Linked DNA regions of Coturnix japonica. The protein of the gene in region 1 purifies or fractionates together with the protein of each later gene. This does not show direct contact. Links are inferred from orthologs where the notes say so. Each region holds a gene or a part of one and is shown on either strand. Other genes may lie near its edges.

What was found.
Region 2: the proteins of CASP3 (region 1) and CRYAB purify together in Homo sapiens (affinity purification with western blotting; 3 studies listed by BioGRID). This does not show direct contact. The link is inferred for Coturnix japonica from reciprocal best matches to the Homo sapiens genes CASP3 and CRYAB.

Annotation. Positions count from the first base shown.
Region 1 is NC_029519.1:34,966,998-34,970,808, reverse strand, and holds part of CASP3 (caspase-3), read right to left. Parts: intron 1,963-3,811; coding exon 1,787-1,962; intron 1,351-1,786; coding exon 1,233-1,350; intron 379-1,232; coding exon 152-378; 3' UTR 1-151. UniProt on the Homo sapiens protein: Thiol protease that acts as a major effector caspase involved in the execution phase of apoptosis. Following cleavage and activation by initiator caspases (CASP8, CASP9 and/or CASP10), mediates execution of apoptosis by catalyzing cleavage of many proteins.
Region 2 is NC_029539.1:5,449,379-5,453,814, reverse strand, and holds the start of CRYAB (alpha-crystallin B chain), read right to left. Parts: upstream 3,091-4,436; 5' UTR 2,888-3,090; coding exon 2,690-2,887; intron 2,614-2,689; exon of another isoform or gene 1,680-2,613; intron 1,145-1,679; coding exon 1,022-1,144; intron 1-1,021. UniProt on the Homo sapiens protein: May contribute to the transparency and refractive index of the lens. Has chaperone-like activity, preventing aggregation of various proteins under a wide range of stress conditions.

The DNA.
Region 1 (3,811 bases):
CTTCTAACAACGGACATATCCAACTCTCAGATAGTTCGTTGTGCCTCATATGGCAGTGAACAGTAATTCAGACTAAAGTGGTATTCCCTACTAACAGTGTATAAATTACAGATAAAAACCCAAAGTGAAAAATTGCACTTGGCAATTTTCTTTAGCAAGGAAAGTAAAATTCTTTGGTAAGCATAGACACAATGCATGGAATCTGTTTCTTGGCATTGAAATCCTGCCGAGTGGAACAGGATTCGTATTCTGCCACTCTGCGATTTACACGAGTTAAAATCTGCATGAGTTCAAGTTTCCTGGCATGTTCCCTCAGCATTCTGCACAGAGACTGAATGAACCAGGAGCCTTCAGCTGCGTTCCTCCAGGAGTAATAGCCTGTGGAAGACAAGGAGACCAAGCTGATCAGATGTAGCAGCCTCTGACACAGGACAGGACAGCAGTTATAGAATGACACAACATACCCAACAGCAGAGAAGGGCTTAAAGTAAACAAAATAAAACCCCTAATCAACAAAGTTTAGATTTGACAGTCCCTTCAAATTTCAACCCAAAAGGTTTTTCTAACCATCTGTTTTTCTAATGTGAGAAGATTTTAGGTAGGTGAAAAATAATCAAAAGGCAGGAGAATTATCTTCTGCTCTCACACGTTAATTATTTACTACTTCATTACAGAATACGCACATGCAGGAGCAGTGACAGCACAGCGAGAGCCAAGATGCAGAACAGATTTCACTGCCACTACCTTCAGCTCTAAAAGCATAAACTGATAAATAGACCTTATTCCTGATAATTGATAATGCAGTGGGCATACTAAGGGCCCTGATACCACTAATTCACTTAGGTTGCAATGAGATAGAGCTGACAGCCAAATAATACTTTGGTGTTTATCACCATTTCTGTGTGTATAAATATACAGACATCTGTATATAATATATATAAATATACATAGATGTCCAATTGCTCTGTTCTTTCAAAATTAATAATATCCTTTTTCCTGTTGCAAATTATTTGCACAGCTCAGATTAAATCAATCTGCAGCACATTCACATTTGAGACAGACCTATAATGAGCTTTTTTCTAGGAAATGAGAGCAGCAAGTGATACAAAGAAAATCAGAAACTTCGGAGTAATCAGCCACTGCATGGAAAAGGCTGCCAACTGCCAGCATCACTGCAAGCAGATACATAGATACACTTTGAGCAACAAATCCTTTCTTTGCAGGCTTCTCACCAGGAGCAGTAGAATACGCATACAGGAAGTCTGCTTCCACAGGTATTTTCTGACACACCGTTTCATCTGGTCCGCTGTCTGCTTCAATACCTGAATCTAATTCTGTTCCTCTACAGGCCTATTTGTTGGAAAGAGGAATGGACAATAAAAAATAAATGAGAAAAGGCAATGATCGTAATGACAAGAATATTATCAATATTTTCAGCTTTGAAGACGGTTAGACTAGAAAGACTCATATGAAAAGTTATTAGCATTTATTTATATAACCTATTTGGTTAGAATGGCTATTCACATGAAAGTACATTCAGAAGCTCACTGAAATACTGGCCAGCATTCAGAAAGATTTTGCACCACCTTAACTCATTCAAATTAAGGTGATTTCAGCTATTATAAGTACTAAGGGAGCAGACTACTCCAACGTTAGACCTGATGGGAGTCTTATTCTGGAAGTAAATCCCTATAAAGCAATTTAGGAATAATTATTCTGTACTAGTGGGAAACAATTTTCTGAATTATTCTTATGATTTGATGATCACTATTCAGTTGTACCTCACCTGAATGAAAAAGAGTTTGGGTTTCCCTGCCAGACTTCTGCACTTGTCACCTCTGAAAAGGCTTGTTAGTACTTTCAGTTCAAGAGGGCCATCTGTACCATAGAAGAGTCCTTCATCGCCATGGCTTAGCAACACACAAACAAAACTGCTTCGCTTACTGTGATCTTCTTCAGAAACTTGGAAGAAAAGAGAATTAAGTTATTGCATTCTCCAGGAAGCTTTGGACATTGTGTACTTCCCATGTGACAGAACTCATTAAGAACAACTGTTCCCAGATCTAGAAACCTCAAACACTTTTCACTTCTAATACAAGGAGCTGGTGTACTTTACTTCATAAAGTCAGACTTAGAAAATCCTAAACTTAAGGCTGATCCTACCCATTGTAGAACGTGACCACGTGGAAAAAATGGCTATGAACATTGTGAAGAGACAGAGTAAGTTGGGGGTAATGATTCAGCACACACACTATCTCAGATTTTAAATGATACACCTCACTCACATGGTCAATGGGATCAGGCTGATGGGAAGTGAAGGCTTGTTTCTCCATACATTTCAAACCTCTGGATTACATGGCAACTGTACTAAGAAAACTGATGATGCTAGATAGACCTAGGTACTAAGATTATACTTTTCCATTTGTTCTTGCCTTCAAGAAGCAAAGTTTTATTATAGAAGAATTCGGTATTATAACAAAAGCAATATTAAATTATGCGATCTAACGCCATTGCTCTGTTGTATTTATCACAGAATGGCACGGGTTGAAAAGGACCACAATGATCATCCAGCTTCATCCCCCCTGCTATGTTCAAGGTCACCACCCCCCAGACCAGCCTGCCCAGCGCCACATCCAGCCTGGCCTTGAATAGGCCAGGGATTCCCCTGAATAGGGATGGGGAAGGTCTAGCAAGATTTTACAGGTTTCTGTGTTTTGTACTTAAAGACCTTTAAGCATGACATAAAGCTTTTCATCTTGTGGTATGTAACGATAAACAAGAGACGTTCTATGTGAAACTGTGAGGTATGTTCTTGATGACCCAGATGATTCCTTCAAGTATATGAAAAGACACAAACAAGGTTTAAAGGAAGAGATCCAAAAGGAATTTTGAGTGGGAATCTCAAGAAAATGCAAGAATTAGTAGACAGAAAAAACATAGTCCTAAAAGCTGAAATCTTCTGTTGAGCTTGCTGAAATACTGAATTTCTATTCTAGAAAAACTGTTTTTATTCTTCCCAAACAATGCATGCTCAGGCATTCCTATAAACTATGGACAAGCACTACATCTATAAGAGTCAAGAAAAGCTAGTTTTGCCATAGTTTACACCATCCGTCTGGAGGTATACCACAGGTAAGAGAATGTGACCTTCCACTTTCAGCTTCTGCCAACAGATAAGCTGCAAGTTAACTAAGCCTAGGAGTCTTCTCTGGCATGAACATTAACTGGCACTAAATAGCCAAATCTATGCTTCCAAACATATATATTTAAAAAACAGGGTTGCTGCAGACTAGTTTACTGTTGGGAATACTCCCTGGAACATTTTCACTGCTGAACTGTTTCTGTGACCAGAAACAGTTTGAAAGAGTGTCACAGTTGTGCCAGAGAACCTTCCAGCAGTTTACTGGAGCAGACTATTTCAGAGCAACAGAACACTTCCAGGCACCATATAATTTACTAGTCTAGATGTAGTCAAGTCCAAACAAAACAAGATCAATGCAAACAACAGTATAAAGATTTCACTTGAAAGACAGCTGTTTTGCATCACAAGCCAAACAAAACATGAGTTACTTCCCTAGAAGAGTAATTCAGTCCACATACTTGTAGTTCTGGCCGGTTGATAAGAACACCTCTTGGACCACACTGCCCAGAACCCTTCTACCCAATTAAGTAGGTTTCTTCCCAGCTCACAGTTTCAGTGAACCAAAGGTCAGAAAACAAATCATTCTGCATTTAAATTTCAGAAGATGATAGAAGATGAGAAAGGATTCTGAGACAACAGTCATGGCACAAAAGACCGAGAGGCAGCAAA
Region 2 (4,436 bases), on another chromosome or scaffold:
GAAAACTTTTCAGTAAGTTAAAAGAGTTTTTATTATGAGATTGCCTTTGTAAAAATCTGAGAAGAGCTGAAGTGAGATTACCCTGCCCCTGCAGGTGGTGCAGGCACCCTTTGCAGGATGAGGCTTTCTCCTCCAGCTCTTGTGTCTGCCAGCTTCGTTTCACAGTGTTGTGCTGTCATGGCTAAGATGCAGGAGTTACAGCTACCTGCAGAACCAGCAGCTCCTCCTCCTGAGGGTCTCCAGGGCCCACAGCATATGCAGCTCCCCAGTGAGCTCATCTCAGCTCTAGCTCTGGATTCATTTCTTAGCCAAAACAAACAAAAAACAAACAAACAAAAAAAACCCCGCAGAAGCTATTTCAGAATTACAGGCTTCCAGTGTCTATGAGTAGTGCTGCATTTGACTGACAGATCTGGGCACCCAGAAGTTTTGGAGCTGATGGGTACAATGATACAGGTACTTTAGGATTTGTTTCCTTCTTGCAAGGATAGGAGGATAGGTAATCCCTGTTACATACAGCTTTGGACGTGGCTTTTGGCCTCTCTTTGACCTTTTGCCACAGAGCCAGTAAGCAATGGGATGGCTGACAGCAGAGTACAGCCTTTAAGGACTGTAAGTTGGTAAATGGGTATTTTTTCAAGAAGAGATAGCTTCTTGCTAATGGAACATGGCAATGCATTCATTCGTTATGCGGTTTAATTATTACAGCTCATTGTTAACTTATTGAATGCTTCTCTGCATTCCTGTCCTCTTCCAGAAAGAGGGAGGCCCGGAAATGCTTATTTCAAAGTTGATTTTCCAGTTCAGTTCACAGTTCATGCAATACCAGCACTAAATCTCCACTCTGCTGCTGCCCAGTCTGGGATCAGCTGGGGGTTTGCATAGAGCATCTTCCATTAGGACTGGTTGATCAAAAACACTGGAAGTGTTTCAGAAGAGCACAGAGGAGGATTGTTCTGCAGCTTCCTTGTTTAACCATAGGTGAAGAAGCACACATTGGTTAACAGTGACACAGAAGTACCTGGCGCTCCTCGTGTTTCCCATGAATTTCTATCATGTCCCCAATCACCTTCACTTTTAGCTCCTCGGGGGAGAAATGCTTCACATCAAGATTTACAGAAAATTTGTCTTTCTCCAGTCGCATCTGTAAAACAAGGAGACGACTTCAGGCAGAGGTTTCAGCTTCATCAGACTCTCAACATGCAGCAAGTCACGCTCACGCTGGGCTCCCCACACGCACTGTCTGACCTCCTGTTTTCAGTCCTGGGGTTCTCATCTGGCTCTTGCTAGCCTGTTCCATTCATGCCCACCACTACAGCACATAAAACATGATGCTTTCTCTCTGGATAAACAGAGAATAGATATTTTCTGGGAAATAAGAAAGAGACTTTCTCAATCTGAATTTGTTAAAACTGACTCCTATCTACTTTTTCTGAGGTGTCTGGAGATTTCCAGTCTCTGCAGCTGGATTTTGCTAAGTCTTTCTGGAAAAAGAAACAGAGTGTGCAGCTGGCTGCAGCTCATCTGTGTCACTTGCAGGCTTTCCCCTGCGTCGTCACTCTTTAAAAACAAAAATAGCGTGTCTCAGCTGAGCAGCACTACCAGCTCACCCCTCTTATCTGAGCAGCAGGGCTACTGCTGAAACTCTGAGTCACCTGCTGCTCATCTTGCATCCTTACCTTCCATTCTGCACTTTATCATCTCCAGCAAATGCTGCTTTTTGCTTGCTCCTGAGGTTGAATTTGCATTTTCTGCCTGTCTTGGATAAGTCAGTGGGACACGGCAATGCAGGCTGGCTGTCTCTGCCTTCCTGCTGCAGTCACAGTCAGGGAAAACGCGAGCCTCCTGCAGCTCTGTTTTGGGACATGGAGGCAGCTTCCATGCCAGTTCTAGCTTTCTGGTTACTGGTTTCCTCAGTTTTACCTGGAGGGCTTCCTGCTCCTTTTGCTAGATTACTGTGAAGATTTCTCCACTGAAAAAGTCAGATGTTGATGTTGTTACCTGTGGTGCTTATTATGGCTGCTTCAGCATATGACCAGACCAGGTGACTAAACCAAGGGAAACATTAAGCAAAGATTAAGAAAATACTTCCCTCTCACTCCACTGGCTTTGAGTAACTCTTTAAGTTATTTGCACATTGGCATCTGACCTGCATGCTGAGCAAAGTCATTTGAGCTGCGTGCCTCAGCCCCCGAAGCAGATGGCCATTTAAAGGTCCTCCCATCCCATATCTCTCTGAAAACACTGCTCTGCCTGGCAGAGATGCTTTAGCTTGGGCCTTTCTACTCAGCATCTGGGGGCTCCCATGCTGCCTGGCACGGGGTCCCACTGCCCCTCTGCTTCTCAGGAGGACGCAGAATGTAAAATTTTTCAGGGCAGACAGAGAAATCAGGCTTCCTCCTTTCTCTTGCTGGCTTCTACAGTCATTCACAGCACACACACAGCTCAGTTTGTCTCTGTGCCCATGGCTGTGGCAATATTTGCTCTCAGTTACAAGTGATTAGCAGAGAGTGCAGAGGTCCTTGCCTAACACCAAGGAGCAGAGGCAAGAACTCAGCACTCTTTTCCTCATAATAGATTTCCTATTAACTACCTACAAGCAGTGTCCCAGCTCTCCCGGGTCCCCAGCTCCAGACCCGTCAGGATGTGCACCTAGTGGTAACAAGAAACAGTAAGCAAGGAAGATTACCTCTGAGAGTCCCGTCTCCAGCCAACTGGGCATCCGAAAGAAGGGGGATCTCATCAGGAAGGGGCTGAAGCTGGGGGACGTAGGGAGCAGCTCTGACTCCTGCAGGTGCTCTCCAAATAGCTGGTCAAAGATACGGCTCGGTGTTAACCAAGAAAACAGAGGTCTGCGGATCAGGGGGTTGTGAATGGTGATATCCATCGGAGTGCGACAGAGGAGCCAAGCAAACAACTGCTGCGGTGCTGTGCCCAGCACAGGGGGCAGCTTTATACCCGTGCGGCTGGCGGGGCCTCTCCCCCCGAGGCCTCTCAAATAGTGGTGTCAGGGATTTTATTGTCCCAGTCCGGGACTGGTCCCTTCAGCAGTGCCCAGGAGCGTCCGGGGGTTTGAACAGACTGCTAAGGAGGAGGGGGAAGGGGAGAAGAAGGACACTAATGGGACAGCAAGAAGCCAAGCTGCCCAGCCACCCTCTCTGCACCCCACGTGCTGTTTATCTGTTGAGTCCCAGGCAGGCTTGGCGGATGTTCCCAGCTGCTTTGGATGCCAGCAGGATCAATGCAGCTCCTATCTTTGGTTCACATGGAAAAGGACAAGGGACTGTTGTTCCCAGTGACGGCACCAAGGCTACAGTTCCCCACTGCACCCACGCGCCAAGGAAGGGCTCTGCCTTCCCTTAAAGTGAAGGAAGCCCCAGGCCTTAATGAGAGGGCAACATGGACCCCAAAAGGTCTGTGCTGAGGTACCCTGGTGTGCAGCTCTGCAGCCTGGTGAGCACCATACCTGAGCACCTGCTGGTGTGTGCACACTAAGGATGGTTTCCACAGAGCATCAGCTGACAACTCTTGTCCTTTGCCCACTCGAGAAATCGCTCTGCTGGAGAGGGCAGAAGAGCCCAGCACCCTGTGAGCAGAGATAAAGCAGGCACACAGCAGCCCTGCAGAGCTGCACCACTGCTTGCCTTCTCTGGGATGCAAACTACCTTGATCTGCCTGTGCCCAGCAGCTATCAGTTCAGATCATGAGGCTGGGTTCAGCCCAGCAGCTGTCCTTTAAGGACAAGAGCTCTGATTATCTGCAACTTAAATACAGACTTCTGGCTTGAGGGCACATGATTCTCACTGCTAGCACCACCGGTCCCCTGCAAAAGGGCTCGACTCTCTTCCTGTTCACTTGCCTGCAAGATTAGGGTGTAGAATTCTCTCTGCAGAAGCCCCAGCCATAAATACTTTATCCAGTTCCATGTTACGTCAGCAGTAGTGCACCTGCTCTCTCGCACTGCAGAGACATGGAAATCTCTGGTTTCAGAGTACAAGGAGCTTAAATGGGTACTAACACCCAGTTTAGTAAAAGTGGATCTAGGCCAGTTTCAGACTCTGGTTAATGCACCACCTCCAGCACAGGCATTTCTCTGGTCCCACTGAGCAGCACTGAAGCCCTGGCCAAGGCACAGCCTGGTCAGCTGGCTCACAGTGGCACAGTTCTGGAGTGTCAGCATCATGGTCTGCACCCTGTTCAGTGCCACTTAGCGGTCTGCAGCACCTTACCACTCCCAGGAACAAAAGACTCAGCTTCTGGGGGAAACAGATCCCTTTCTGTGGGGTTGATATGAGCGATAAACTCACAGCGATGACTTTGCATGACTGCACACAACCTGACCAAGCATCAGCCACCATTAGGCATAGCCCTGTGCCCTGCTGGGTTGGCAGGGGCAGTGCTGGGTGCCCTGTTCCTGCCTCTTGTTCCCTGCCCAA